Elephas maximus indicus: one gene and its partners. The protein of the gene in region 1 interacts with the protein of each later gene in a biochemical or structural test. Links are inferred from orthologs where the notes say so. Each region holds a gene or a part of one and is shown in the gene's direction. Other genes may lie near its edges.

Region 1 (7,245 bases):
CATTTTAAATCATTGTATCCCTCATTTGTTGGTTCCTTTGTCACTTCTATAAATGTGAGAGAGTCCACTTTTTCATCTTATAGAAATTTTCAATAATAATTTCCTCACATGGGACTTTTGTGGCTTGATTTATATCTTTTCCTATGTAAAGAAGAGATGTGATTTATGAAGGCAGGTTTTTCAAGTCTTTCTATAGATGAGGTTTAAGTTTTAACTGTATTATCTGTCACTACTACCTGAAGGTAGGTTGCACTTTTTTTCTTTGAGGAATAAAACCTTTATCCCTATAAATGTCAACTCGAGCTTCAATATTGAATAAAGAACAGTAATGAGTCACTGGGTATTGGTCATATTATGGCTCTATTTTCAAATATCCTGGACCTCTACGTTGACAACAGGACTGCTGGGCTGTGTGCCTTCTGCTACAAAAATTAGCTCCTGGGATCTGGGAGGAGTGTTTAGTTTACCTAAATTCTTCCATAGCCTTTATTGCCAGGTACCCAAGAGAGTCCTCGTCCCTTGCAATCAGAAGAGCGTAACTAAAACATGAACATAACTAAAACACCGGGACATTTGAAGGAGTCCCTGGTGCAAATGGTTAATGCCCTTGGTGCTAACCAAAAGTTTAGTGGTTGGAGTCCACCCGGAGGTGCCTTGAAAGAAAGGCCTGGCAATCTGCTCCTGAAAAATCAGCCATTGGAAATCCTGTGAAGCACTGTTCTGCTCTGACACACACGCTGTTGCCACGAGCTGGAATGTACTCCAGGGCCCCTGGTTTGGTTTGGCCTGAAAGCAGTGGACTCGCTGTAACCCTGCCAGTGGCCACTGCAGCTCTAGCCAGACCCTCCCAAGCAGCCACGGCTCCAGGGCTTGCTATCTGCTAACCTTTGCTTACTGGTTTTCTCTGCAACAATCCCCTCACCCTGTAAATTCACTTGATAATAGCCTAGGCTTACTGTGGCCTCCACTCTACTCCAAGACATCTTTTCTGTTTGTGTCTCTGCAGCTCAAGAGCTCAGTCTAAGTTTCCAAAGTCATACTCTGAGATCTCGAATGTGATTGGCCAAGTTCATCTTTTCATGTTAGGTCATGTCCTAGGTCACTGGCCAGCCTATAGAAGGCTGCTCTTTGGCCAGGTCCCCATCGCTGCCCAATTAGCTGTGATCAGAAGTGGGGGGTGGGAGTCACACGGATTTGACTAGGTTGTCTTGGCAACTGCAGCTGACAACCGGCCAATCTCTCTTAGAAAGGTGAGCGAGTGGGCGGTCAGGTACTGATTGCTATCTCTAGGCAAGCAGAGTTTCCATTTTGGTTGCTCTTCATGAGGAAAACTAGAAGCTCAGAGCTGCTTTTATGGTGTGATTGAATTGAGATAGTGCTTTGAGTAGTACCCAATGGAAACAGCTTTGCTAATAAGGACAAGTGAAGAATTTGGGCAGTTAACTATGTAACTAAGTCCCAAACTCCGCTATCATCTTGGTTGTCTGACAAAAACACACTCTCCAATTCAAAAATGTGATTTTCTTTTCTTTTACTTTAGCCTGAATCACCCAAAACACAACAGTTTTTTGCTTCAATGACCCAGATTGCGTCAATTTTCTGCTTTATTTGCTTGCGGAAACCAGGATGTTAGTGGTCTTCTAGAATGGGAAAACTTATTTTTTAAAAAAAGTTTGGAAGCTGGAAAAAATTCTAGAATTTATAGATTTCATTACTCTAAGTTAATTGACACACAATATGACACCATAAAGGCATGTGTGTGATAACCTCGCCCTCTTTTTTTAAAAAAAATAAAGGTGAAGTAGATAGCATGATTCGATAAAATGTCAGGCTTTGTTTTTCAGTGTGTATGAGGAAACCAAGCACAAGTGCATGGCGCTTCTCTTTGAATTATATTTATGAGATTGAGTTTGCCTTGTGTTTATTCCCATTATATTATATTATGCTGCCTTATTTTAAATTGTTCGTTTCTTATTGTTTTGTCATTATTCAGTTTAATAGCGATAAATGCAATTTAAATAGAAACTTTACCTCAAAGGGAATTTTTCTTTTTTCTATAAGAAGGCACAGAATATTTTAAAACAAGGTTAATCCAAGCACATATTTTTATTTTTAGTGATTCAATTAGAACGGAAAACTTTAAAATTATTCATAATAACCTTTCTATATCTATCTGATAAAACCATTCTTACCCATTCACAGATAAACCTCCAAACTTTTTTTGCCCCATGTCATCTACAAGGCAAGAGTGTTCCCATAGCATATTCCTATTTGCAATTCCCTGTGTGCTGGCTCTGATTCCACCAAACCAAAGAAAACCCAGTTGCCATACAGTTCAACTCATGGCTACCCCATGTGTGTCAGAGTAGAACTGTGCTCTCTGGGGTTTTCAATGGCTGTGACCGTTTGTAAGTGGGTTGCCAGGCCTTTCTTCTGAGGCACATCTGGGTGGATTAGAACTGCCAGTCTTCATGGTTAATAGCCAAGTGCTTAACCATTTGCTCTACCCAGGAACTCCTCTGATTCCATAGTGGAGTGTTAAAAGCATGGGTCCTTGAATTGAACCACCTGAGGTTGAATCCTGGCTCCAGCTGTGAAATCTTCATACAGGTACTTAATCTCAGCATCCCAAGGTTTTCTCATCTGTAAAATGGGTTTGTGATAGTACCTACCTCATTGGGTTGTTGTGAAAGTGCTTAGACTAGTAGTTGGCCCCTAGTATGCACCCAATTTGCTATTATTTTTATTCTCTCTCTGGAGAATGCACATATTGGAATGCAAATGAATGATAGTAATGTTCTTTTAAGGGTAATCACTCTAATTCATAATTTATATTATGCTTAAATTTACATTTTCCAGTAAAGAGGAAATAATCTTAACCTTCAGTTCAGAATCCAGTGGATGTCCTATTTTGAGAACTGTTGCTCTCAGTAATTTTCTTCTCTGTACTGATGTGTACCACTGATTTTTAACAAATAGCTAGATGCTGTTTGCAAAGTGTAGTTCACCCATTCTGGCAAATATAATAATTGAGGGATTTAATTAAAAGATATTTTGCTTTCAAAAAGTTTAAACTGTTCAAAACATTTATTAAATTATTTACCTTTCATCAGAAATCATAATAAAAGTGATACAATCTAATAAGACCTCCAGAATGTATTAGTCAATGTGACTCTTTGTTAGTGAATCGTTGAACTTTTGTGGTTGTTAAATCAAAATGAAATATTTTACATATTAGCTAAAATGTCTCACGCTCTATGTTCCAGGGAAATTATCTTAGGAAAATCTGTATATTCAAGCTGTTCTATCTATGGTCTACCTCACAAGTATAGAGAAGATTACTTGAAGACAGTTAAGAACATGTATTTCAGAATGTTTTCAAGGGGACACATCTCGTGCCAATCACCTGGGATGGGTTATTTGTATGTGTGTGTATGCGCGTGAATGAATTGCATAAGATAGTTCCTAACAGTGCGGGTGTAGCTAAACCAAATAAGGTCTGTTTGACTCCTTTCTCAGTTATCCTATTTATCCATTTATTAAACACATACACACAGAGAGGGAGAGAGAGACAATGATTTGAGTTAGGCAAGGTTTTATTTTTTGAACAGTTTCACTGAGATAGAATTGACGTATAATCAAGTGATTATGATAGTTTTGGTTTTCTTTTTCCCAAGCCAGTTTTGAGTCTCACCTCTTACCCAGCAGATGGCCATTTGCATTTAGAGATTTTAGGAAGCTCAATAGCAAGGGACTCCTGCCCCTCCTTTCTCCCCCCCGGCATTCTCATTTCCAGAAAACCAGCCTTTCTCCAGGCTTGTAAAGTAGAAAAAGTGAATCAACTTTTAAAAATCCTTTAAACTACATGCTGCATAGACCACGAGCTGACTATAAATGATTAAAATCCCAATATTATTTTTTAAAATTTCAATATGATTTTTTTAAAGCTCATTTTCGATTTCAGGATTTTATCTCAGTGTAAAAAGACAGAGAGAGGGAAAAAAAATAACAAGCAAACCCTTAATCTGTTGCCGGAAATGCCGGACAGTTTAGGACATAAGATCATGTGACAGCAGGAGGGGCTCAAAAGCCAGGCAGAAGGTAAACCTGTGCAGGTTATTAAAGTTAAGAACCGAATTAATCAGTGACGAGAAGTGCAGAGCCGGCTGGTGAGGCAATGGCTGCATGAGAACGTGGAAACCACCCCCCCCCCAAAAAAAACTCGCCCAAGACGCGTCCTCACCCCCGGTTTTCGCTGTAATTAATTTTGAATTAACACACTTTATGTGCTGAATACCTGCTTTATTTACTTATTTTTTTCCAACTACACACGCTTGTCTTGGCTCCAAGGTTTATCAGAAACAAAGAAGAAATAGGCTGGATTACATAAAAATATGTTTCAGGCAGATTAACACATTACTTATTCCTCATTAAAGATCTGTCTTAACCAAAGAGCTAAGAAGTTTGAATCAGGCCTGGCTTGGAGAAAGGCGGCCACCCCCCTCTTCTCTTTCTCCAAGGCGATTTTCCAATCCTAGTCAAATGGTGGTGCTAGTTCTTTATTTTTGAGTGGCTGCATTTCCTAATTTCATGGTCGTAGCAGCCTGTGTACAGGCTCAGAACGGCTCTCCCCCCAACTGAAAATGCAGACTCCAGGCTCAGAAGCTCCTCACCGGGCTTGAAAGGGTCCCACTCCTTTCTCCTGCCCTTTCTATAGCATCAGAGGACACTGTCTGAGTGACTTTCTTCTCTACAAGTAGGTATTCTGTTTTCTTCTCAATTTCTTTCCTTTTTTTTTTTTTTTGCTATGTCTGCTACTGTTTACAAGCGTGATGTAACTTTAGAGCCTACCTCTCACATTAAAAGATGTTCGTTTTTCTCTGAATGCTCCGGGGGTATTTTGCAAAGTCGCTGGCAAGCCTTGCTACCATGGAAAAATGTGAAATGGAAGCTCGGTACAGTGGAAATCCACTTTTGGAGTAACATTCGGCTGAGTCAGAGAGCTGCAGTTACCGTTTTCCGAGCGCAGCGCTGACAGGCTGCCCGCCCGCCCCAGATAACGAATATTTATTGGATCCTGCTCTAGTGATGAGGTTCTGGATCTGGGAAGCGTGTCGGAAACTTACAAGTTCTTGATTTGTCTGCTCACAGGCTAGCAGGAGCATACGACCTGTTTTCTTAATCTTGGGTACTGTAACTCATGGGAGTGTGAACCAAGCAGGCTGAATAAGCCGTTATTTGCTTCCTGAAAGCAGTGGAGTTTTCTGACAAGCTTCACAATCTTGCAACACAAGGTGACACCCTGTCTTTAAAGCGCCCTATGGTTTGAGGCCAGTCCTTTTGAGTCCTGCAACCTCAGCCTTCTCTGACGTGACAGACCATCGGTCACCTTTTGCAGGATGGTGTGTACTGGAGCGTCTCCGCATGAGCAGGAGTTCCTTGCGCCGCGATGTGGCAGGCACAAAAGCCAGGACAGACTACTTTCGTTTTGGCTAGAGGGATACGACACATTTCAGGAAATGTGCGTTAAGTTCTAAGCTTCATGCTTTGTCTAGAAGGTGACAAGTTTTTGTTCTCGGACAAGCCCATAGAAGCGAACTTTTTTTTTTTTTTTTTTTTTGCACTAACTGTATGGTTTGGGTTTTATCAGAACTTAGAATCATGGCACAGATTCCCGTACAAAGGTGCCAGATTTTTAACAGCTTTATGGGCCGGATCTAATAGACGGGCACAGTGACTCCCAGCATGTAGTGGCTGGGAAATTCCTCTGGTTTTGAACTTGATATAGATGTCTTTATATTTCCATGTTGTCAGTGAACTTGTGAATTAGAGGCCTTCGAACTGAATCGTAAAATGCACAGAGAAATGAAAGAAGTGGAGTTGGTTGAGAACTTCCCAGATCTTCTACTCTATAAAATTTCTTTCTGTTTCTCCAAAGCCAATGTTTGCTCCGATTTTGCGAATATTCCTTGAAGACCGTCCACTAGGCCTTGAAATGCCTGGATCTAATATGGTAGAAGTTGTTAGATTTTCAAAGAAATTAGCAGTAACAAATAATTTAGGTATCGGAAGCATCTCATGTAAGGAAAAAAAAGCTACATTTTGAATACAAATACAAAAGTCATATTTATTAGCAAGATATTTTTCTTAGACAGTTGGAAATATTTGTTTTATTTCATCACTCTTGGAAAGTCATGGAAAGCTCTCATGTCTTAAAGTTGCAGCAAGAACAAAGTCAAACAACCATCTTTTATTTCAAATAGCTATCTTTTACTTTGCTAGAAAGCTTAGACTTCTGCTCAGACCTTCCACGGTGAATAACCCTTTGCTGAGGAGTCAGACATTAAATAGTTCCATTCAAATTCACAGGGGACAACTAGGGCTTTGGAATCCAACAGGGCTCAATCCAAACCAGAACTCCCCACCGCTTTCTAGCTGTGTGAGTCAGGACAAATTATTTCACCTCTGGCCTCAAATTCCTCATCTACAAAGTAAGGATAGTAAGTGTAGCCGCCAGATGGAATTGTATGGAATAAATGAGATCAAGCCACTCATTAAACCACTCTTGCAATCTTCTTCAAGGGCTAGAAACTCAAATGAGGATGCCATTTTTATTCCAGCCCTACTACGGTGCCTGATACAGTATTTAATACATGTTGGCTGATGAATGAATGAAACTCATGGTCAGCACTGTAGCTGCTAGGAGCTTTTATCCATCTGACTATAACTGGTAACTAGACCTGGGGAAAAAAAAAAAAAAAAAGGGTTGGAAATCCACCCAGCTGAGTATGCCACTGGCTGAAATGTTGTTGCTTTTGAAATGGGCATAAAGTGTTGGAAGAGAGAGTACAGAAACTTCCAGCATCCTTCCCTCCATGTTTCTTCTCCTTCGTGACTGTGAGGATAGCCACATTCTTATGAGGAGAGCATGTCAAAAAACGTAGAAAAGGTGTGTCACCTTCATTTATACATCAAAAGAAGCATTTTGCTTCTCTGTTAGGTAATGCTTTCCCCCAGGCATGCAGAGTTGTATGTGAACTTTTAATTCAGTGTGATGCCTAAGACCTGAGACAGTCTCTTTTCCACTAGCGGTAACATAGATTTAGTGCCAATCAGGGAGTAGTAATAGCAATATTAATACTGAACATTTAGGGAGCTCTTACTTTGTCCAGTGCTTTTTTATAGGTAATTATCACATTTCACCCTCACAACCACCCCAGGGAGTCAACATTATTGTTCCAGTTT
Region 2 (7,575 bases), on another chromosome or scaffold:
GTTGAAGCAATCATGGTCTGCTTATTTATGTGATTTGATATTGACTGTTGTCTCTGAGCCATCTATAAGTTACTGTATTAATTAATTTTGTTTGCTTAGTGTATCCTAGCTTCTTGCTTTGTTTTGTTTTGATATGCCCAAATAGGAGGCTTGAGTGAGCTAGCTTGATTATTTTCGCCTTCAAAGCTCTAACATCCTGTCACCAGATGCCTAGGGCTGTTACCAGGTATATGAGCCTAGGAGTCAATTCACTTTTCTGGTATGGGTTCAGCTCAGGTGTCCAGATAGTTGATCATCAAGCATGTGGTACAGACTCTGTCCCACAGTCTTAGAGGGGCAAGAGTGATAGATGTAGGCACAGGTATCTGGTTGCAGGTGGGGGTCACACTCTGAACAAGGCAGGGGCCTGACAACCGTTCCCTGAGTGTTTGTGAGGAAAGCAGTTGACTGTTCCCTACAGCGCACAGGTGGGTGGGTTCTGCAGTTGGACCATGGGCATCCAATGCTTTTGGTTGTAAGGACTGGGGGGTATCACTTATCCTTGGACCCCTGTCACGGGTGGCTAGGTGATATGAGTGGAGCCACCAGTCATTAGGCCCCTGATGTGGGTAGGTGAGGACTGTGTTTAATTGGCAAAATGGTGTCAAATGTCAAAAACCCACCTTTGTACCACACAGCTGAAACAGTTGCCTATTCTCCTGAAATGGGTCCACAAAGGTCCATGCAGGGGTGAAAGGTATTCAATGCCCGTGGGCGATTTGTGCCTGCAGAGCAGCCACTTCTGTCCTGAGCTCCCCAGCTTAGTGGAGCTGGCAGATTATCTTTTCCCCCAATTGTGAATTTATTCCTTCTCCAAGGCTAGGAGAATGGCTCAGAGTGTGCAGCAGGACCTATCTCAGGCCCAGGGAAATCAACAGTCAGTGAAGCCATCTTGGGGGCTCGGGGGAGGGGGTGATAAAATAAAAGCAAGTACTTAGCTTTTGCTAAGAGTGGCGTTCTTCTCTGGTTCTGGAGGTGTGAGTAAACTGTGTGGCTCACTGTCTCTCCCGGAGGAAACCGGGTCCGGAATGCTACTGCAAGACCCGCCGTGGTCACTTCAGGGGATCGTGCCTGAGGGCTCCTGATGAGTCAGGTCCGGCAACTCCTCACTGCTTCTGAACCGTCTCTCCTTCCCCCTGATATTCAGTCCGTTTTCTAACTTTGCCTTTGATGTTCGGAGCTCCTAGCTTGTCATATTATATAATCGTTTCACTTGTTTTTTCGGGTCTTCGTTCTAAGAGGGATCATCGGAAGCATCTGACTACTCTGCCATCTTGGCCCCGCCTCCTACAGTGACTTCTTGAGTACTTCTGTTTATGATTTCTAAAATAACCAAGTACCATGGAATCAATTCTGACTCACGATGATCCCACACGTGTTAGAGTACAGCTGTGCCCCATAGGTTCAATGGCTGATTTTTCAGAAATAGATCACCAGACTTTTCTTCCAAGGAGTCCTTGGGTAGACTAGAGCTACCTTTTGATTAGCAGCTGAATGCATTAACTCTTTGCACCACTCAGGGACTTCTTATGATGTTTAGGGAATATACAGGGATTTCTTCATTTTTTGCCACAGGAGATTAATGCAGTGGAAATGCCCTCAGTAGATTCTCAAGAGATACTTGATGAATAAATAAAAACTTGAATGAATGGGAGGAAAAAAGACACAATGTGGTTATATGCCCTGAGAGAGACAGTGCTGTGAGAGACCCTACCATGGTCTAGGAGGGTGTATTAGTCTCCCGTGGCTGGTCTAACCACATGCCACAACCTTGCTTAAAACAGCAGAAATCATTCTCTCACGTATCGGGAAGCTGAAAGTCAAGATGTCGGCACAGCTGCACTCCCTCCAAAGGCTCTGGGGGAGAATCCTTTCTTGTCTCTTCCAGTTTCTTGTCTCCTCCAGCTTCTGGTGTCTCCACACGTTCCTTGGCTTGTGGTAGCATCGCTGTAATCTCTGCCTCCATCTTCACATGGCTTCTCTGTGTGTCTGTGCCTCTTATTTTCTATAAGGACACCAGTCACTGGGGTTAGGGCCCCATCCTAGTCCCAGGATGGTTCCATCTGGAGATCTTTAACTAGTCACATCTGCGAAGACCTATTTTAAATAAGATCACATTCTGAGGTTCTGGGTAGACATGAACTCTCTATAAAGGACTTCCTGGACTAGGTGACACTTGAACTGGGTCTTGGAGGATGAGTTTGTGTTGCCAGGTATATATGTTCTCAGCATAGGGAGCAGCATTTGCAGAAGTATATAGAAAGGTCCTGATGAGACCTTCCTAGTGACTAGAGTGGGGTGTGGGGCGGTGATGGTGAAGTGAGGGATGGAAAATGAGGGTGAGAGGTGCAGCACAAGATTTTGAACAATAAAGATAAATAGGAAAAAAAAAAAAACAGATCAGTCTCAACACTCAAAGACATTCACTCTTTTGGTATATCTGTGGAGCCCCTGGGTGGTACGAATGCTTAAGCATTGGACTGCTAACCACAAAGACTGGCAGTTCAAACTCATCCGGAGGCACTTCAGAAGTATGGCCTGGCCATTGGCTTCCAATAGGCCACAGACTTGGAAACTCTAAGACCAGTTCTACTCTGCACACATGGGGTCACAAGCGGTCAGAATCAACTTGAACTTCACCAACTAACAACAACATATATCTATATCACCATGAGTCACTCTACTGGGACTGGGATAGCCAAATGCATTTCTAATCTTTTTTTTTCTATGTATAGGAGCTATTTTTTTTAAAGATTTCTTTCTTATTTTCAGAAAGCTAACTCTGCTGCTCCGTGAGGAAAGGCGTAGAGCAGAGGGAATACTAAATGGGAAGCTGCCCGGTAGCGTACCTGCCCGAGCCATGCTGGACGACAGTGGGGCAGTGGAAAACGAAGCGGGACCATTTTCCCCAGGTAAAGGACATGGGGAGGCTGGCTGCGTGGTGTGTAGAGAAAGAGGGAGGAGTCGGCACTGATTCACAGGTTTCTGGCTTAGGAAACAGAGTAGCTGGTGATGTCTTTAAGATAAGCAAGTTTTGAGGAGCAGATAACGAAGTGAGATGTGAACACCTCAGGTTTTGGTGACTGTCCCTCAGGGGATGGCGACGCAAGCCGGTCTCCCCGAGGCCCCACACCTGCCTGGAGCACCTGCAGGGTGCCAGGTGGTGGCGGTGTCCTAGAGTGCCTCCTGAGGCCCTGAGCCCAGAGGGAATGGGAACTTTTCCGCTAGAGGAGCGGGCAGAGCGCGCTTGGCTCGGGGTGGAGGTGGCGCCCACCACCCTTCTCCGGCAGGTAAGGGTGTCGCACCTGGAAGCCCCGCCATGGCATCGGGCTCGGGACTCCGGAGTCTTACGTGCCCCCACCTTACCTGGAGGGTTTCGAATCCAGGCCTTGCCACTGTCTGCCTCGCCGACCTTGAATGAATTACTTTGCCCTCCCTGCCTGTTTCCCATCTGCACACGCTTGGTGGCGGACCCTGCACACTCGACGTCACAGGCACCCGGAGAGGGGCAGTGGCCCGGCCTCGGGTCCAGGTCGCCCCGGCCCTCCCCTCCGGACGTCGTCGGGGAGGGTGGCGGGCAGGGGCCCAGTGGCACCGCGGGGCCCGGGGGCGGCCCGCCCAGACGAGGCCCCGACGCCCGGGCCTCCGCCCCCGAGTCGCCGCCAAAAGCCAGGTGCCAAGTGGCCCGCAGGCCCGGCCCTGGCCCCACGGCCGGGCTAGGCATTCACAAGCTCCTCTGCCGCGCATTCGGCCCTTTCCGCCTGGGGCACTCGGCTCTTTCCGCCGTGGCGGGCGCAGGTGGAGGGGGCGGGGCGGGGCCGTGCGTGCTGACGCTTGGGAGTGACGCAAGGCGTGCCCCGCCCCCTCCCCCTCCCTGTTCTGGCTCTGGAAAGAGAAGAAAAAAAACTTTCTTTTTTTTTTAATTGAGGAATCAACAGCCGCCATCTTGTCGCGGACCCGATCGGGGCTTCGAGCGCGATCTACTCGGCCCCGCCGGTCCCGGGCCCCACAACCGCCCGCGCACCCCGCTCCGCCGGCCGGTCCGCTCCGTCCGGCCCTCGGCGCCCGCTCCGGCGGCCCCACTCGCCCCTCGGCCCGGCCTCCCGGAGCCCGGCGGCGGCGGCGGCGGCGGCGGCGGCGGCGGTGGCGGCGGCGGCGGCGGCGGCGGCGGCGGCGGCGGCGGCACGGGGGTGGGGGGGCCGCGGCGGCGGCGGCGCGGCTCCGCTCGGCGCATTGTTTTGCCTCCCGGCGGCGGCGGGCCGGGGCGGGCGCGGACCCCCGGCCCCCTCCTCGCCGTCCGCGAGTGAATCCATTAAGTGGGGCGCGGAGGGGGGGGGAGCGCGGCCGAGGAGGCGGCGGCACCATGTTCCCGGGGACCGTCTGAGCCGCCGGGCCGGCGCCGTCGCTGCCAGCCGGGCACGGGGGGCGGCCGGGCCGCCGGAGCACCCCCGCCGCGGCGTGTCGCGCTCAGGAGGCGGGCAGGGGATGAGGGGGCCGCGGGCGGCGGCGGCGGCGGCCGCGGCCGGGGGCGCTCGGTGAGCGCTGCGGGGCGCTGTTGCTGAGGCTGAGATTTGCCGCCGCCTCCCCCACCGGCCTGCGCGCCTCCTCTGGCCTCCTCGCCCGCTCCCGCCCCGCTCCCTCGGCCGCCGGCCGGCGCCCACCGACCCGCGCCCGAGCCCGTGCTGGGGCGCTCCTCGGGAGCAGGTGAAAATGGCCGAGAACTTGCTGGACGGACCGCCCAATCCGAAACGAGCCAAACTCAGCTCGCCTGGATTTTCTGCTAATGACAGCACAGGTGAGGAGGGGGCCGGGCGGACCCAGGGCGGCGGGAGCCTGACGGGGGCTGTCATCCCCACCCAAGGCGAGGGCTTCCGCGACTGAGGATCGCCCCGCGAGCGCCTGTCGGGCAGGGGTCGCCGAGACCCGACTGTGGATCGCGGCCCGAAGTGGGGCCCACGCAGCCCCCGGCCCGTGCCCCCGCCAGGGAGAGTGGAAGTTTGTGGGGGAAGACTGTCACTCGGCCCGAGTCCTGCATGCGCTGGGCTTCCTGGAGTTGGCTAGCCCCCGTCGCGTGGCAGAGGAATGAGACTTCCCGGGAGAAAAAGTAAAGTGGAGTGTGTTCATTCTGTTTGGTCACATCACACGCCTCCGACTGCGGCCATGTGTCCACACACGCGTGGCTGTCTAGAGGAATGACAGGGGAGGGAAGGTACGATTTCTGGCTACGGAAAGAAATCTCGGAGCCAGAGGGTGACTTGGTGTGTTTTCTGAATTGGTAATGTATTCACAACCCTGCAACCCCAACACGCACGCAGCCACCAGCTTGTGAGTTGCAACTTAGAAGTTTCTTGGATTATGTTTCCTGGGGAAATGTTTAGTAGTTATTTTGAAGACTCTTCTTGTCACCTAATCATCCCATTTTTCAAAACCCTGAACTCCCTTAGCAAGATGTTGTAAAGGTTGCTGTGATGTGTTTAATCTCACTTATAAAACTTAGAAAGTGAATAGATTCATTTGAGCCACAGCCTCCATTTGAGCTTGTCTTGGTTTTACAGTGTAGATGTGCAAAAAATTATGTGAAGAAATGTAGAAATTACCTTTCTTCCAGAAATGTTGGCAGAATATGGAGTAAATCGTCTTTTTTTTTTTTTTTTTCTTCTCATCAAACAGCATCCATGAAAACTTTCTTAAGTAATCCTATCAGTTGCCTAAGAAAAGCATGTTAGTTTTTGCTTCACTTAACAGTGCTGGGTTTTCTAGGCTGGTTCGTGGTAACAGTACCAGCCGGTGGCATTTCCTCTTTTAGAGCTCTCGATTCTGCAGTAAAAACTTGGGTGCAGCTGCAAGCGATTTTGGTCTCCAGCGCAATACAGTATTTGCCTTTCTCCAGTGCAGGCTTTGAGTAACAGCATCTGAAAATCAATTTATAATGAATGGGTCCAAATCGAATTGTATCGCGCTGCAGTGCCTTCAGATTTGCACTAGACACAGCTGTTTAACTTGTGGAAGTATTTCTGTGACTGTCCATTTGCGTAGACAAAAATCTAGTTCTGCTGTTGAAACAAATCTTGTGGCTTCAGTTTTAATACAATTCCTGGGATCTAGTTATGAAAAGTGGCATGTAATAATGTAGAAATGAGAGAAGCAATTTTTTAAAAAATCGGTCTTAAGTTGGTTTTCGTGTAGTTAAAATTTTGTTAAACTGGGGGCGGTGGGATACAAGTCTCAATTTATCCGAAGTGAAAAATTTGGTAACAACCATATTTTAAATGCCGTTTTGCTGCAGAACAGATATTATTTGCTTAAAACCTTGCCATATTTAAGTGAAAAGTTTTCAGTCTTAGGAAACGTAGAGATACAGCTCGTACCAGGAAAGTTGAGCTTTCAAGCTTGTCCTCTGAAACCGGGTAACTTTTGAGTGGCTGCACAGCTTTGCAGTTGTTGAATGAGGTTACCATAGGTTTTGTTTTATAAGGGAGCAAGTGATTAACTGGAGACTTAGCAAAAAGGGGTGTTGTTTCCAGCATGGACCCCAAAGGATGGCTTTTTTGAGTAGTTCTGTTAGTGGATGGCCAGATATTTAATTAAGGTGCTGTTAATCCGTGGAAATCGACTTGAAGGCACTGGGTTTGGTGTTTATTTTGGAATCCCAACATAGATTATCAGGAAGGATTCCACTTTTAACATTTTTTCTTCCTTACCATTTGAACAAACAGAGGCTCTTTTTACTTTTTCAAATGTGGAACAAAAGATTCTGTTTCTAATGGCTCCCTTTTAAATAATCCAAAGAATAAAATTAATGCTCCTACTTTAGTTTAGTCCTTGGCCACGTCCATCACGTTTTCACAGAAGGGTCTATTAGTTGGGGGAGAGGGGCAGGAGGAAGGAGTCATTGTCAAGCACATTAATTGAGGTACAACCTTGTCTCCTAGTAACGACTAGGCTAAGACACCAAGTGATGAGGTGGACAGAGATAGTAAGGCAAGTAAATGACTAAAATATGTACTGTCCACCAAATCCATCCAAAGGTTTGGGATGGGAATGTGCCCAGAGTCCTGGGAGTAGCGGTCCTGAGAGACTCAGCCTTACTTTATTGAAGGGATGTGCCTGGGAGGCTCCCAGAAAATTTGGCAGGTGGAGAAGGTATGGCACGTGATAAAATTTGTGGCAAGAGCTGAGGGGTTGGAAGGAAGAGGAGGAGGCCCAAGAAATGGGGAGAAGTAGAGTGAGTACCCTGCTGCCATGGTGTACTGCTGGTCTGTGGGGACTGGCCTCTGGAGGCAAGGTGGGCGGAGACCCAACAGTACCCCTGACCTTGGGGAGCTTCCCAGCCAGGGTCCTGCCCACAAGGTGCTTGTAGTCTGGTGGTGGGGGCATCCCAAGGAGGGAGCAGACTCCCCCTGAGAGAAAGGAGAGAAACAGACCCTAGTAAAACACCAGCTCTGGAGTGACAGAATTTGATGGCATCAGACGTTGAAGTAACTTTTTCTAGTTTTACATGGAGTGCCAAAACGCTGTCTCACACACGAAGCCTTC
Region 3 (7,558 bases), on another chromosome or scaffold:
ACCACCATCTATTTCAAAAACTTTTTCATCACCCCAAACAGAAACTCCATACCCTTTAAGAAATAATAACTCTCCCTTCTCCCACCCCTTCTGATCTACTTTCTGTCTCTATTAATTTGCCTATTTTAGATATTTAAGTAGAATCATATATAATATTTGTCCTTTGGTGTCCTTTGGTTTATTTCACCAAGCATGATGTTTTCAAGGTTCATCCACGTATCAGCGCTTCATTCCTTTTTATGGATGAACTATGTTCCACTGTATGGATATACCACATTTTGTTTATCCATTCACATGTTGATGCACACTTGGGTTGTTTCTACCTTTTGGCTACTGTGAATAATGCTGCAATGAGTACTGATGTACCTGTACCTGTTTGAGTAGCTGCTTTCAATTCTTTTGGGTAAATACCTAGGAATGGAATTGCTGGGTTACATGGTAGTTCTATGTTTAACTTTTGGAAGACCTGCCAAATTATTTTCCACAGGGACTGCTTTTTACATTCCCACCAGCAATGGATGGGCTCAAGCATAACAATGATTATGACGATGGCACAGGACCAAGCAGTGTGTCTTTCTGTTGTACACAGGGTCACTATGAGTTGGAACTGACTGGATAGCACCTGACAATAACACAAGAACCAGCCACGAACAAGTGTTCCAATTTCTCCACAACCTTATCGACACTTGACATTTTCTGATTTTTTTAAATAAGAGCCATCGTAGTGGATATGAAGTAGTATACCTCATTGTGGTTTTGATTTGCAATTCCCTAATGACTAATGATGTTAAGCATCTTTTCATGTGGTTATTGGCCACTTATATCTTCGTTGGTTGTTGGTGAAATATCTGTTCAAGTCCTTTGCTCATTTTTTCATTGGACTGTTTGTCCTTTTACTGTTGAGTTGTAATTGCTTATATATTCTGAACATTAAACCCTTATCAGATATATGATTTCCAAATGTTTCCCATTCTATAGGTTGTCTTCTCACTTTCTTGATGTCTTTTTCTAATTTTTATTGTGCTTTAAGCGAAAGTTTACAGATCAAGTCAGTCTCTTACACAAAAACACATATATGCCTTGCTACACACTCCCAATTACTCTCCCCCAATAAGACAGCCTGCTCTCTCCCTCCGCTCTCTCTTTTCGTGTCCATTTCACCAGCTTCTAACCCCCTCCACCCTCTCATCTCCCCTCCAGGCAGGAGATGCCAACATAGTCTCAAGTGTCCACCTGATCCAAGAAGCTGTCTCCTCACCAGCATCCCTCTCCAACCCATTGTCCAGTCCAATCCATGTCTGAAGAGTTGGCTTCGGGAATGGTTCCTGTCCTGGGCCAACAGAAGGTCTGGGGGCCATGACCACCGGGGTCCTTCTAGTCTCAGTCAGACCATTAAGTCTGATCTTATGAGAATTTGGGGTCTGCATCCCACTGCTCTCCTGCTCCCTCAGGGGTTCTCTGTTGTGTTCCCTGTCAGGGAAGTCATCGGTTGTAGCCAGGCACCATCTAGTTCTTCTGGTCTCAGGCTGATGTAGTCTCTGGTTCATGTGGCCCTTTCTGTCTCTTGGGCTTGTAATGGCCTTGTGTCCTTGGTGTTCTTCATTCTCCTTTGATCCAGGTGGGTTGAGACCAATTGATGCATCTTATATGGCTGCTTGCTAGTGTTTAAGACCCCAGACGCCACTCTTCAAACTGGGATGCAGAATGTTTTCTTAATAGGTTTTATTATGCCAATTGACTTAGATGTCCCCTGAAACCATAGTCCCCAGACCCCTGCCCCTGCTACGCTGGCCTTCGAAGCATTCAGTTTATTCAGGAAACTTCTTTGCTTTTGGTTTAGCCTGATTGTGCTGACCTCCCCTGTATTGTGTGCTGTCTTTCCCTTCACCTAAAGTAGTTCTTATCTACTATCTAATCGGTGAATGCACCTCTCCCACCCTCCCTCCCTCCCCCTCTTGTAACCACAAAAGAATGTTTTCTTCTCAGTTTAAACTACTTCTCAAGTTCTTATAACAGTGGTCTTATACAATATTTGTCCCTTTGCAACTGACTAATTTTACTCAGCATAATGCCTTCCAGGTTCCTCCATGTTATGAAATGTTTCACAGATTCCTCACTGTTCTTTATTGATGCGTAGTATCTTCTTGATGTCTTTGGATGTGCAAAAGTTTTTTTATCTTGATCAAGTCCAACTTATCTATTCTTCTACTTTACTCTTTTATAGCTCATGCTTTTGTTATCATATCTAAGAATTCGCTGTCAAATACAAGGTCTTGAAGATTTACCCCTATGTTTCTTCTAAGAGTTCTATGGTTTTAGCACTCACAATTTGGACGTTGATCCCTTTTTGAGTTAATTTTTGAATATGGTAAGCGGCAGGGGTCCAACTTTATTCTTTTGCTTGTGGAAATCCATTTGTTGAGGAGATTATTCTTTTTTCATTGAAAAACAGACTTGCACTCTGTCAAAAATCATTTGGTCATGGATGCATGAGTTTATTTTTAGACTTTCAACTCTATTCCATTGGTCTATATGTCTACCCTTGAGCCAGTACCACATCATTTTGATTATTGTAGCTTTGTAGTAAGTTTTAAAATCAGGAAGTGTGAGTCCTCCTATTTTGTTCTACAAGTTGCAATTTTAAATAGGTCAGGAAAGACCTTCTGAGAAGTTGGCAGACTGAATAAAGACTAGAAGGAGGTAAGAAACCATACCAGTCAATGTCACTGCTTCACCTTTCCCTTTTCATCATTTTTGTGCCACAACTCTCCCATTACAGTGTGGTTTTCCTAATATCTTGTACCTGTGGTTTTTCTTCAGAGGACTGCCTGGAGATGACACAATAGACCACGTGTCCTTGCACACACTTGACCAATCCCCCGCCCCCCAACCATAACCCTAAAGGCAGTGCAGAAATCAGGCTAGAGTTGCTTGACAAAGCCAAAGAGGTACGGGATCCCTGAGGAGGCCTTCCTGTATTTCACATTAATCCTTTACATGTTTCTGATACTTTTATATTAAAACAACAATTTCATGTACATTATTTTAACCACCACTCGAACTGCCTGTTATCCTTTGGCAATCTTTCCTTTAATCTTTCCCATCAATATGCTCTTCAATTTCATTAATCCCCATTCACGAGTACAAAAATATTGACTTTGCCTCCTTGTAGAGATACCCCATTCCCTACTGGCACACCCAGGACGGCCGAAGAGCAGCCCAAAAATTCAGTCACTCTAAATGTCAACACTATTGTCATTTAGTTGTCAGCATAGTAATAACAAGTTAGGGATCTCATTTGTTCCTTCTTCCTCCAAAGTGACCCACAACATCAGCTAGGTGTTTACATATCCAAGGAAGGGGCCGCTCACTCCACATGGTAAACCTACTTACTCGTGATTATGATTTTGTGGGAAAAGCCCAGGACTAGTTAATAAATCCGCTTCAAAACACATTTATTATGCACCTAATAACGGATCAGAAACACTGGTGGCATAGTGGTTAAGTGCTACGGCCGCTAACCAGGAGGTCGGCGGTCAGATCTACCAGGCGCTCCTTGGAAACTCTACAGGGCAGTTCTACTCTGTCCTATAGGGTCGCTAAGAGTCAGAATCAACTCGAAAGTAACGGCTTTTAATAACGGATCAAGCAATATTGCACTGGTAATACAAAGACGATCGAAACAGAAGGCTGAATCTTTATTTTCAAGGCCCTCATAATGCATCGAAGTTGACAAACACAACCTGATACAATGGGCTGAGTACAGGACTACAGTAAAGAAGTTATCAAAGTGCCATGGGAGTAGAGAGGAAGGATTATTGGAGGGAGAGCCCAGGACGGCATGAGGAACAGCCATTTGAGCTGAATTGAGAAGAACAAATGAGTTTAAGCTGAAGTGAGGGGCAGTCGTTCCCTGCGGAGGGAACCAAATGAGCCAAGGCACGCTTTGGCACAGAGACCAGTGGCACCCCGCGCGCTGCGTCAAAGGGCTTAACATCTCTGGGTCTTGTCTCAGAAAACTAGCAATTACACCATAAAAGCGCTTGAAAACGAAAACTGAAAAACTCCGTGGAAATGAGAGGCAGCGCTTTTTCGTCAAGGCTAATGCCCGGACGTTATGGCAGGAAGACCCGAGAATGCCTGTGAGGACGTAAAACTCAGTCAACAGAGTCCTCTCCGGCTCCATCCTCGGCTTGCGTAAGTATATACTCTAGCCGAAGAAGCAAGAGAAAAGAAGAGCCTATGGAGTGAGCGCTACCTGAGCCCAGCCGGGTGGTTCCGGAGCCTCACGCCCCGTCGCGATTCCCGCGGTCCTCCGACTAAGCTGAAGCCACGTTCCCCGCCTCCTCTCAGTACGGCTTCGCACCGCCCGCCGCGTCACCCGACGTTGCAGACGCTTTGATTCCTCCCAGCAGCGAAATCCGGGCCTATCCCGCGGCCGAGCCGCCTCCGCCCTTTCCGTAGTGACGAATCGGCGCCTGGCTGGGAAAGTGCCCAAATTAGAGAACTTTTGAGGAACTGTGAAGCCTTTAAAAATCAGGAATTATACTAAACATCACCAAGCCCACTATGGAAGCTTTACTTCTGTAGAGAAAAGCGGGTGATGTCTGTAAGTAAATTACGAAGAAGTGTCGAAAGTGCGAGTACGGAAGCTCGGCGCGCGAGGGGCGGGGCGTGTGCGGGACAAAGGGAAGCGAAGCTGAAGCTGCGGGCGCTCTGCTTGCCCGCGGGTGAGTGTTTTGGAGCGGGCCCGACCGGGTTGGGAGGGTGGCGAGCTGTGATGTCCCCGCTTGGCTGGACCCCGACTTCCCAGGGGTTACCCGGGTTTAGGTTTGGCAGCGGAGCCAGAGGTGGGGCCGGTTGCGTCCACTCTGAGGCCTAGCGGTGTGAGGATTGGTAAGGAGTCCCGTCTGTGGGTTCTCCTCAGCGGCAGCATTTGCCCTGTCCAGTAGCCCTCAGGAATTGACCAGAGCACTTACGCATACACCCCTTTAGTTGAGTTGCTGGTAAAGTGCATTTTCCCCGACAAACAAAGGAAACGACTTCACAGGAAGCTCTCGGAGCAAACCGTGCCCCTGGTCCTCACTCCCAGGAGTGTGGTTCCTCTTGGTCCAGGCAACGACGTGGTAATTTACGGTGTGGCTTGGAGTGAAGAGCGAAGGCTCTGAAACAGTTTGGCCTGGGTTTGAAACCCAACTCGAGTACTTCCTGGCTGTGTGGCTTTTGACAAGTTACCTAAATTCCCTAAGAGTCCCTTTTTTTTTTTTTAATTTGTAAAATAGGGATAGCAATGAACGTTTCGTAAGGTAGTTGTAGCTATTAAACAGGAGAGCGTAGATGATAAGCTTATCCCTTATGAGGCATTCATTCAACAAATACTGAGTATTACGTGCCAGACCCTGGGATTGAATCCAGTGGCAAACAAATGTACAAGCCCACTCTTAAAATTTGTAGCCTAGTAGGGGAGATAAATAATTGCAAAGCATTAACAATAAAGTGATGTACAAGCAGTTTGTGGCAGTTGTCATTAGGGCTCCCCGGAACAAGGCCTACTGGGTGTTGACAGCTCCCTGAATGTGAGCAGGAGGGAAGTCTGGACCAATAGTTTCTGCCTGTTTTTTAAGGAAAGAGAGAGAGCCAGGAGGGGCCATTGATAGAATAAGCTATTTCCATCCACATCAGGCCTCTTATTTCTTGTACTCTAGGGAATTCCCCTAAAATGCAAACTAGGACCAAAAAATCATGTTTGTTTAATATAACGTTTGGATGAAAGTGCACCAGTAGACATAGAAGTTTATTTGCCTTTTTTTTCTAAAAATGAACTTTTCGTCTCTTTGTACTCTACTCTTTGCGATGTGTACTGACGTAAGGAACCAGCCCACATGTATATGGTTGTGTTGTGAGCTGGTAATCCCAAACAGCACATAATCTGGTCATATTGACAAATAAAAAGTGAGATAGAATAAACAATATCAGAGATTTATGTAAATTTGCCAGGAATACTGAGGAGGGTGCAATTAACTCTGCCCAGGTAACTTACTTGGAAGGCTCCATTGAGGAGTTAAATCTTGAAAATGGCTCTGAAGGACGAATAAGAGTTTTTCAGGTAGACTTTCAAAATTTATTCTCAGCAGTTATGAAGCTATTTGCCACTATGAGAGAATGCTACAGCTCATTATCATACCAATTACCTTTTGCACAGCCTCCAGGAATAAAATACAGTGCTATTTTATTGGAAGTTTGTTACCTAAGCAAAGGTAGAGCTCTGATAAGGAAGCTGTCAGTATCTGCTAGGCCTTGTTGGGGTGGGCCCAGATAATACATCACATTCTATTGTCATCTTTTTATCAGATTGTTTACATAGCATCAGCAAAATGTTTTCCATACAAAAGGTGGCTCAGTGTCATTAAAAAAAAAAAAAGCCTAAGGGTACATGTCTAATATTACTCTTAATGTCCCTAGTGATTTGCTTTAGTCATTTAACTCTGATCAACCAAATGATCAACAATAACTAGTAAAAACGATACACAAAAGGCTTGATTACTAGCAGATAAAGAGAACTAATTTTACTCTGAAATACCAATTAAACTACCCTATTTTTTAGGAAAACATTCTCTTATGCTTGCTGAGTTTTGATTCTCTTTTTTTTTTTCTTTTTCTTTTTTTTTCTTTTTTTTTTATTTTAGTGTCTCAGATTCATTCTTAAGGAACTGAGAACTTAAATCTTCCAAAATGTCAAGTAAGTTTCATTTTTATATTTATCAATCTATGTTAATAAGAGACTAATGCCCTAGCAAATGGGAATTCCAAAATACTCTCATTTTTTTCTTCAAAACAGGACCATTGGTAGTTTTGTTGCATAGTGTTATATCTCAGTTGTTTACAAGAAGTTATTTATTTTCTTTCAAACAGAAAGACCATCTTATGCCCCACCTCCCACCCCAGCTCCTGCAACAGTAAGTTTTAATTTTCTTGTTAATGTAATAGCCAAGTCTGGCCTTGATACAAAAACCCAGATGTCTTCCAGTGACAGTCACTCAATCAACACAACAACAGTATGAGAAAGTCAGCTAAAAAAACAGCACTTCCTACTAAATAGAAAAATAACTCTTTGCATCTTACCTGGAACCAACCCCAACATTTAAAGAAACATACTACCAAAATTCTGATCTCTTATGCTCACTTTTTTTCTTCTAAACGGGAAATAAGCGACAAGTTTAACACTTCTCCCTTATTAATCTTTATTATTAAGAGTCTTTAAAGTTGATATTGAGTGAATGCTCATTCTGGCTTTTTTTTTTTTTTAAAACCTAACCTTCAATTGGTTATATTTTTCTCTCCTCTTTTGTCTATACGTAATTTTCGTATTAAATCAAACAATAAAGCTTCTAGTTCTACAATAGCACTCATTGTAAATCTTTATTTTCAAGCTGTTCAAGTAATGATTTTATAATCTCTGGGTCAGATCCTGCTATTTTATTCCACTTTATGAATAATATCTTTTTGTTTTGGGAATTGATAAGTTTCAAAATGTCTAAAGAATGAATAGTTGTGAAGT
Region 4 (7,701 bases), on another chromosome or scaffold:
ATTATAATACGTCTTGGTGACTTTCTTTTAAAATCTACCTTATGTGGAGGTTAATGAGCATTTTGGATAGATATCTTCTCATCTTTCATGGTATCAGGGAAGTTTTCTGCCAACAATTCTCTCTGTATTTTCTTTTGTCACTCCCTGTTCTGGTACTCGTAGGTTATTTCTCTTGATAGAGTCTGACATGATTCTTAGGGTTTCTTCATTTTTTTTTTTTAATTCTTTTATCTAATTTTTCTTCAAATATATTGGTGCCAAGTGCTTTATCTTCAATCTCACCAGCTCTGCCTTCCACTTGCTCAATTCTGCTCCTCTGACCTTCTATTGAGTTGTCTAATTCTGTAATTTTATTGCTAATCTTCTGAATTTCTGATTGCTCTCTCCCTATGGATTCTTGCAGCTTATTAAATTTTTCATTATATTCTTGAATAACCTTTTTAATTTCTTCAACTGCTTAATCTGTGTGTTCCTTGACTTGTTCTGCATATTGCCTGATCTCCTTCCTAATCTCGCTCGTGATGTCTTGAGGAGTTCTGTATATTAATCTTTTGTATTCCTCATCTGGCAATTCCAGGAAGGCACCTACATCCAGAAGATCCCCTGATTCTTTGTTTTGAGAGCTTGTTGAAGTGATCATGGTCTGCTTCTTTATGTGATTTGATATTTACTTTTGTCTCCAAGCCATCCGTAAGTTATTTTATTATGTATTATGTAAGTTATGTTTGCTTACTGTATCCTAGTTCTTGCTTTTTTTTTTTTTTTTGATATGCCCAAATAGGTTGCTTGAGTGAGCTAGCTTGATTATTTTCATCTTTTAAGCTCTAATGTCCTGTTACCAAGTGGCTAGAGCTGTTATCAAGTATATCAGCCTAGGAATCCATTCACTTTTTTTGAATGAATTCAGCTCAGGTGTCCAGGTAGTTGGTCATCAAGTGTGTGGTACAGGCTCTCTCTTACAGTCTTAGAGTGCAGAGGTGATTGGTATAGGTACCAGTATCTGGTTGCAGCAGGGGGGGTCACACTCTGAACAAGGCAGAGGGCGAGAACCACCCCCCGAGTGTCTGTGAGGAAAACACACCCCTGTTCCCTACGGTGCACAGGTGGGTGGATTCTGCAGATGGACCACAGGCACCCGGTGTTTTGGTTGTAAGGACTGGGAGGTACCAGTTGTCCTTGGACCCCTGTCATGGATGGCTGGGTGACCTGAGTGGAGGCATCAGTCCTTATGCCCCTGATGTGGGTAGGTGAGGACCCTGTTTAATAGGCAAAACTGGGTCAAACATCAAACAGACCCCTCTCCCCTGCACAGCTGAAACAGTTGCAGTCTGCCAACAAGGGTCTATTCTCCTGAAATAGGCCCACACAGGTCCATGCAGGGGTGAAAGGTATTCAAAATCCATGGACCATTTATGCCTGGGCAGGAGCCACTTCTGTCCTGAGCTCCTCAGGTTAGTGCAGCTGACAAATTATCTTTTCCCTCAAGTGTGAATTTATTCCTTCTCCAAGGCCAAGAGAATGGCTCGGAGCACTCAGCAGGACCTATCTCAGGCCCAGGGAAATCGACAGCCACTGAAGGGGGCTTGGAGCACAGTAAAATACACACAAGTACTTAGTTTTTGCCAAGAGCGCCATTCTTCTCTGGTTCCAGAGGTGTGAGTAGGCTGTGCAGCTGGCTGTTTCTCCCTGAGGAAACCGTGGCCAAAGGCTACCGCCAGCCCACAGCAGTTGTTCCCGGGAATGGTGCCTGGTGGATCCTGGCAATTCAGGTCTGGCAACTCCTCTCCACTTCTGAACTGTCTCTCCATCCCCTGCCACTCAGTCTGTTTTCTAACTTTGCCTTGTTGTTCAGGGCTCCTAGCTTGTCATAAGTATAATCATCTCACTTGTTTTTTCAGGTCTTTGTTGTAACAGGGATCACTGGAAGCATCTGGCTACTCTGCCACCTTGGCCCCACCTCCTAGAAGCTGCTTTTTGACGCGAGAATAGTTCTCTCCTGCAGATCACCTTTGAGTTACAACTCTATTACCAGTGCTTGTCAGAGACTCCACATGGCATCTTTATCTTGCACAGATACCTCTAGCACTATGGCATCTGTTGAGTCACAAGGCCCACGTGGCGGGGATTCTTGTATGTCGCCAGAACATGTTGTAGAGCTTTCTCTTGCTCTGGGCCCTATTCAAATCTGACAGCCTTCAAGTTGCTCAGTAAATGGGTCAGATCAGAATTTCCACGGTATGTGCTGGCACTAAGTCCCCAAAAATCTACCAGACATTGTGCTTCTTTTCCAGTGGGAGGAGATGCAAGGTACAATAACTGAGTGTAGTCCATTGCACGTCTATACCACAATGTGTTTATCCACTCTCTTGTTGATGGACATTTAGGTAATTTACACCTTTTTCATATTGTGAAAAAAGTTATAAGCATCTTTGTACTTTTGTGGACACATTTTTTTTTAATTTATCTTGAGAAATTGCTGAGCCATAGGGTGAACAGAGATTTAACTTTACAAGACAGTGCCAAACAGTTCCCCAGAGTTTGCACCATTTATGCTTTCACCTGTAAGAGTTCCAGTTGCTCCACATCCTCTTCATCCTTTGGTGCTTTAGTCTTTTTTATTCTAGTTCTATGAAGTGGCTTCTCATTATAGTTTCAATCTGTATTTCCTTAGTGACTATTGATGAATACTTTACACATGTTAAAAAAAAAAAAAGCCACTTGCCATTGAGTCAATTCTGACTCATACTGACTTCATGTGTGTATGGTAGAGCTCCACTCCACAGGGTTTTCAAAGCTGTGACCTTTTGGAAGATTGTCAGAGCTTTCTTCTGAGGCATGAGCTGGTTGGAGCCAACAACCTTTTGGTTAGTAGCAGAGAGCTTATTGTGCCACCCAGGGACTCCTTTACTGACCACTTATTTGTACAGTAAAACCTGTGAAAGCTGGAACCTGTGTAAGGCAAAAACCTGTCAGAGAAGGAAAACTCAAATATTTTCCACTAAAACAAGTGATAGAAAAGTGGTAAGACTGCACCCGGGCAAAGGAGGAAAGCTTGCCAGATCTGGAAAAACGAGACAGTCTCGTCAAGTTCTGGCTCTCACAGGTTTCACTGTGTATCTTCCTTTGTGAAGTTTATGTTAAAGTTTTTTTGTATATTTTATTGGATTATCTTTTTATTGTTGATTTGTAGCAGACCTTTATATATCCTGGATAGAGGTATTTTGTCAGATATGTGTTGTAAACATTTTTTTCTGTGGCCTATCTAATCATTTTATCCATGAGTTCCAGAAAGCATATGAAAAGCATGGAGGAGAGATAATACAGTAACAGAAAATGGATAAGAATTTTTCACAACTCACGAAAAACATCAACCCACAGATCCAGGAAACACAATTTGTCTCAAGGAAGTTAATATATATAAAAGAGGATCATGTATGGACTAATCATGGTTGTACATCATTTTGCAAAGATTTTCAATAATCCATTCTTTCGACTTGAAGTCAGCTTCCTCCAAAAAAGTGAGTAGACTTTTCTAACTAGGTCCCCAGGAGAAACTGAAATGAGTGGGAGGGATGGTAACTTGTTTTCACTTTTCTCTTCCTGTTTTTTCAGAGCCTGGGAAAGCTAATCAGAATTTCCAGTCTTTTCCAATTCCCAAATGATTTCTTAATTTAAAACGAATTCCAAGAAAACAAAACTCTCTCCATGTGGAGAAGACTCCGCACCCCACCACGGACCATCATTCTAGAAAGAGGCAGTCTGGGGTAAGGGGTTGCCCAGCTCCAGTCCGTTACCCCCACCCGGCACGCATACGCCTTGGGCTTGGGGGCGATACCGGCGCCGAGGCGTCTCTAGACGCCGCGGTTAATGAATGGAAGCGCCCCACCGATGGCTGTGGCTGGACGTTAGCTGGAGACCCTGGGGGGGGGGGTCGGGCGGGGGACGTGTCCCCGTGGGTTCGAGCGGATCCTTGCAAGACGCAGGCGCCCTGCCATCCAGACGAGGATCACAACTGTACCCCTGAGCGTCCCTTGCCACCCACTGCTTCAGTCCGGCTGCATCCCAAACCAGCCCTTTAGCGGAGAGGTTCCGAGCCCTGGTCTCACTCGACCCGGCCCGCCGGCGTCAGGGACGCGGGCCTGAGCCTCGGCCACCCCTCTTTGCGGCAAGCTCCGCGAAGCTCCACTGTCAGATGTGGGGCCAGGGCGCTCTCTTGCCCCCCAACGGCATCTGACTGAGGTGAACAGGATATTAACAAGAGCTTCTGAAGCAACTACCATCAAAAGGCACCTTTACCGATGATGACAAAACCCGGGTCGAGTGCAGCCGCCCGGCCCTCTCGGGCGCCGCCAGCCCGGGCCTTCCCCGGCGCGGGCGGGCGGCCGCAGCCCAGCGGCCCTGGCTTCGCTCCAGACGGGACCTGGGTGACATCACCAACTCCTCCGATCGGCGGGAGGGGGCCCCGAAATCCCCTAAAAATATTGTGAGTAATCGCCGGGCCCGCCTCCAGGCGGGGCCGGACCTCGGGAGCGAGCGGAGCCGCCGCGCAGCGCCGGGAGCAGCTCTAGGCGGACGGCCTTCTCGTCCGTGCGCGGCGCGCGCTCGTTCCCGGCCCCAGCGGCGCGCGAGGCCTCCTGGGCCCCCAGCAGCGCGCACTCGCTCCCGGCGGCGGCGGCGCAGCGCGCAGGCGCAGCCGGGTTCCGGGCAGTGACGCGGTGTCGGGCGCGCGCGGCGCATTTCCGCCTCTGGCGAATGGCTCGGCTGTAGCGCGCGCTGCGGGCCCAGCTGCGACCCCGGCCCCGCCCCCGGGACCCCGGCCATGGAAGGTGAGGGCGCTCTCGGATCCCGGGGGGTGGCCGCGCGGGGCCACCGAGGCCGTGGCGGGAGCCCTCGCACGCCTTCCGCCCCTTCCTGCGCTGGCGGGTGCTGCGCAGGGAGCGGCCGAGCCGGATGGTGGCGCGGGGCGGGGCAGGCGGCGAGGGGTCTGACTCAGTTTCCCCTCGGGGTGGAAGGGGACCTTGACTCAGTTTCCTCCCTGGGTGGGGGTGCGAGTCAGACCCTGACTCAGTTTCCCTCCGTGGTCCATGGGGGTAACTCTAACTTTGTTTCCCTGTTAGGGGAACGTGTGCCTGAGTCGATTTCTCCTCAGCATAGGAGATGGGGAGAAACCTCCCTCAGCTCTCTTTATGAAACTAGAGAGGGTCCTGACTCAGTTTCCCTAAGTAAAGGGAGGAAGGACACCAGATCCAGTTTTCCCGTAGGAAACAGGTGTTTCTGGCTCCGTTACCCCACCCCTTAGCTTCACTGCAGGTTTGAGGAGCAGGCCCTGATTTAGTTTCCTTTGGTGGGCGCTTGGCTCCATATTCTCTTGGCGGGGATGGGGTCCAGAGGATGGACAGTGGCTTATGCTGACTCTTGGCCCCCTCGTCTTCCAGATCTGTTCCCTCTCATCTTCCCTTCGGGTAAGTGGACTGTCCTCCGTCAGTGGCTCGGGTGGATCTCCCCACAGCTGGGGCAGTGGGGCAGCCGCTAATAAGGGCTCACCATGTCCCCTGCAGAGCCGGCCCAGGCCACCGGCCCCTATGTGGAGATCATCGAGCAGCCCAAGCAGCGGGGCATGCGTTTCCGCTACAAGTGCGAGGGCCGCTCAGCGGGCAGCATCCCAGGCGAGAGGAGCACCGATACCACCAAGACCCACCCCACCATTAAGGTCAGCACTGCGTCACCAGCTCTCAGGGGTAGGCTGGGGGTATGGAGTGGTGGGGGAGTGGCCTGTTGAGCCCTGGCAGGCTTGCCTCCAGGTCACTATGCCCTCTGTGTCTGGGAGTCGGCTTTGGAATTCTTGGGCCTCTAGGGTGTTCTCTGTACTTTGGACAGATCAATGGCTACACAGGGCCAGGGACAGTTCGCATCTCCCTCGTCACCAAGGACCCCCCTCACCGGCCTCACCCACATGAGCTCGTGGGGAAGGACTGTCGAGATGGCTTCTATGAGGCTGAGCTCTGCCCAGACCGCTGTATCCACAGGTGAGCTCCCCACAGGCCCAGGGTGGGCTGGCAGGACAGGAGGTGGGGCTAGGCACAGGAGGCAGGGCAGCTGCATCCACGTGTGAGCCCCCCACAGGCCTGGGGTGGGCTGCGGGACAGGAGGCAGGGCAGTCACAAGCTGTTACAGTGTTACTCCTTTCTGGCCACAGGGCAGAGTTCCTCACCCCTTGTCCTGGGCCCAGCTTTACAAACAGACTTCCCTAGTCTTGGAACGATCTGTTCATGGACCCCCCTCTCTAGCAGATGTGAGCTCCTTGGGGCAGGGATGGGGCCTTAATCACCTCTGGACCCCTGCACTGTGGTTGGAACGGTGAGTCCGTCAGTGCCCCATCTCTTGTGCCAAGAAAGAAAACCAAGCCAGCAGTCTCCCTTGGAGCTGACTACCTCACAGTGCTGGGCCAAGTAAATATACGGGAAAGTAAATGAGAGAATGGTGGAGTGTAATCATTTCAGTGATGAAAATAAAACCGGCTAGTAGATAGGAAGGCGCCCTGGTGGTGCAATGGTTAAGCGCTCAACTGCCAACTGAATGGTGTGTGGTTTGAACCTACCAGCCGCTCCATGGGAGAAAAACCTGGCAATCTGCCCCCGTAAAGATGTACAGCCTAGAAAACCCCATGAGGTAGTTCTACTCTGTTCTGTATGGTCACTAGGAGTCGGAATCAATTCGACGGCATACGACAACATAACAACAGTAGATTAGGAGAATAACCCAGGGCAGGGGGTCATTGCTTTGGATTGGAAGCTCCGGGAAGCCCTTGCTCAGCTACGACTTCTATGGTGAGAAATAGAGAAGCAGGGAAAGGATGTTCCAAGCGGAAAGAACAAATACAAAGGCTCAGAACTGGGAATGAGTTTAGCGTCTTAAAAAAAATCAGCTGCTTAGGAGCAGAAAAAAAGCCCATGGGGCTGGAGGAAGCTGGCAAGGGCCTGGTCATCCAGCGCTTCTCAGCCAGGGTCAGGAATCGGGGTTTCATTGCAGCCCAGTGGGGAGCCACTGGGATGGTTAAGCAGAGGGCGATGATAGGGGATGGAGAGGGAGGGAGGAAGGGCAAATTGGGCAAGGCAGGAGGGCCCAGGCTCTGCTGGAGACAGCATACTGACGCCCGGAGGCCTCAGCTTCCAGAACCTGGGGATCCAGTGTGTAAAGAAGCGGGACCTGGAGCAGGCCATCAGTCAGCGCATCCAGACCAACAACAACCCCTTCCAAGGTGAGAGGTTGGGGGGCGAAGGCCTGGCCTGCCTGGTACACCCTCATCTCTGTCACCCTCCTGAGGCCACCTTTCCTGTGTCTTCCTCATTGACCAAGAATCACAGCACAGACAGGATTCTCATTCAGTACAGACTCCCACTTACCACTGAGGAAACAGTCCCAGACAGGACACGACGTCCAGGGTCATAGGTGGAGTCTGTGATGGGTCTAGAATCTTGTCTTTTTCCTTTTTGAGGATGCCGTCTATTGTTTCCCATGTTCTCAATCAGCCTTCCCAGCCCAGCGCTCCCTGCCTGTGCCCCTGCCCCCACTCTCCTGACCGCCTGTCCATCTGGCTCTCTTGCAGTCCCCATAGAGGAGCAGCGTGGGGACTACGACCTGAATGCTGTGCGGCTCTGCTTCCAGGTGACGGTGCGCGACCCGTCAGGCAGGCCCCTCCGC

What was found.
Region 2: the proteins of ESR1 (region 1) and CREBBP form a complex in vitro, tested with the Homo sapiens proteins (2 studies listed by BioGRID). The link is inferred for Elephas maximus indicus from reciprocal best matches to the Homo sapiens genes ESR1 and CREBBP.
Region 3: the proteins of ESR1 (region 1) and SMARCE1 form a complex in vitro, tested with the Homo sapiens proteins (3 studies listed by BioGRID). The link is inferred for Elephas maximus indicus from reciprocal best matches to the Homo sapiens genes ESR1 and SMARCE1.
Region 4: the proteins of ESR1 (region 1) and RELA form a complex in vitro, tested with the Homo sapiens proteins (3 studies listed by BioGRID and IntAct). The link is inferred for Elephas maximus indicus from reciprocal best matches to the Homo sapiens genes ESR1 and RELA.

What each region holds. Positions count from the first base shown.
Region 1 is NC_064819.1:223,110,044-223,117,288, forward strand, and holds the start of ESR1 (estrogen receptor), read left to right. Parts: upstream 1-4,240; 5' UTR 4,241-4,756; intron 4,757-7,245.
Region 2 is NC_064830.1:61,817,207-61,824,781, reverse strand, and holds the start of CREBBP (CREB-binding protein), read left to right. Parts: upstream 1-4,564; 5' UTR 4,565-4,749; coding exon 4,750-4,834; intron 4,835-7,575. Other genes in the region: uncharacterized protein LOC126087487, read right to left, coding at 3,406-3,984. UniProt on the Homo sapiens protein: Acetylates histones, giving a specific tag for transcriptional activation. Mediates acetylation of histone H3 at 'Lys-18' and 'Lys-27' (H3K18ac and H3K27ac, respectively).
Region 3 is NC_064837.1:47,751,772-47,759,329, reverse strand, and holds the start of SMARCE1 (SWI/SNF-related matrix-associated actin-dependent regulator of chromatin subfamily E member 1), read left to right. Parts: upstream 1-4,548; 5' UTR 4,549-4,603; coding exon 4,604-4,730; intron 4,731-6,686; exon of another isoform or gene 6,687-6,732; coding exon of another isoform or gene 6,733-6,739; intron 6,740-6,912; coding exon 6,913-6,956; intron 6,957-7,558. UniProt on the Homo sapiens protein: Involved in transcriptional activation and repression of select genes by chromatin remodeling (alteration of DNA-nucleosome topology).
Region 4 is NC_064825.1:128,815,181-128,822,881, reverse strand, and holds the start of RELA (transcription factor p65), read left to right. Parts: upstream 1-4,698; 5' UTR 4,699-4,819; coding exon 4,820-4,826; intron 4,827-5,435; coding exon 5,436-5,462; intron 5,463-5,558; coding exon 5,559-5,710; intron 5,711-5,877; coding exon 5,878-6,026; intron 6,027-7,166; coding exon 7,167-7,258; intron 7,259-7,606; coding exon 7,607-7,701. UniProt on the Homo sapiens protein: NF-kappa-B is a pleiotropic transcription factor present in almost all cell types and is the endpoint of a series of signal transduction events that are initiated by a vast array of stimuli related to many biological processes such as inflammation, immunity, differentiation, cell growth, tumorigenesis and apoptosis.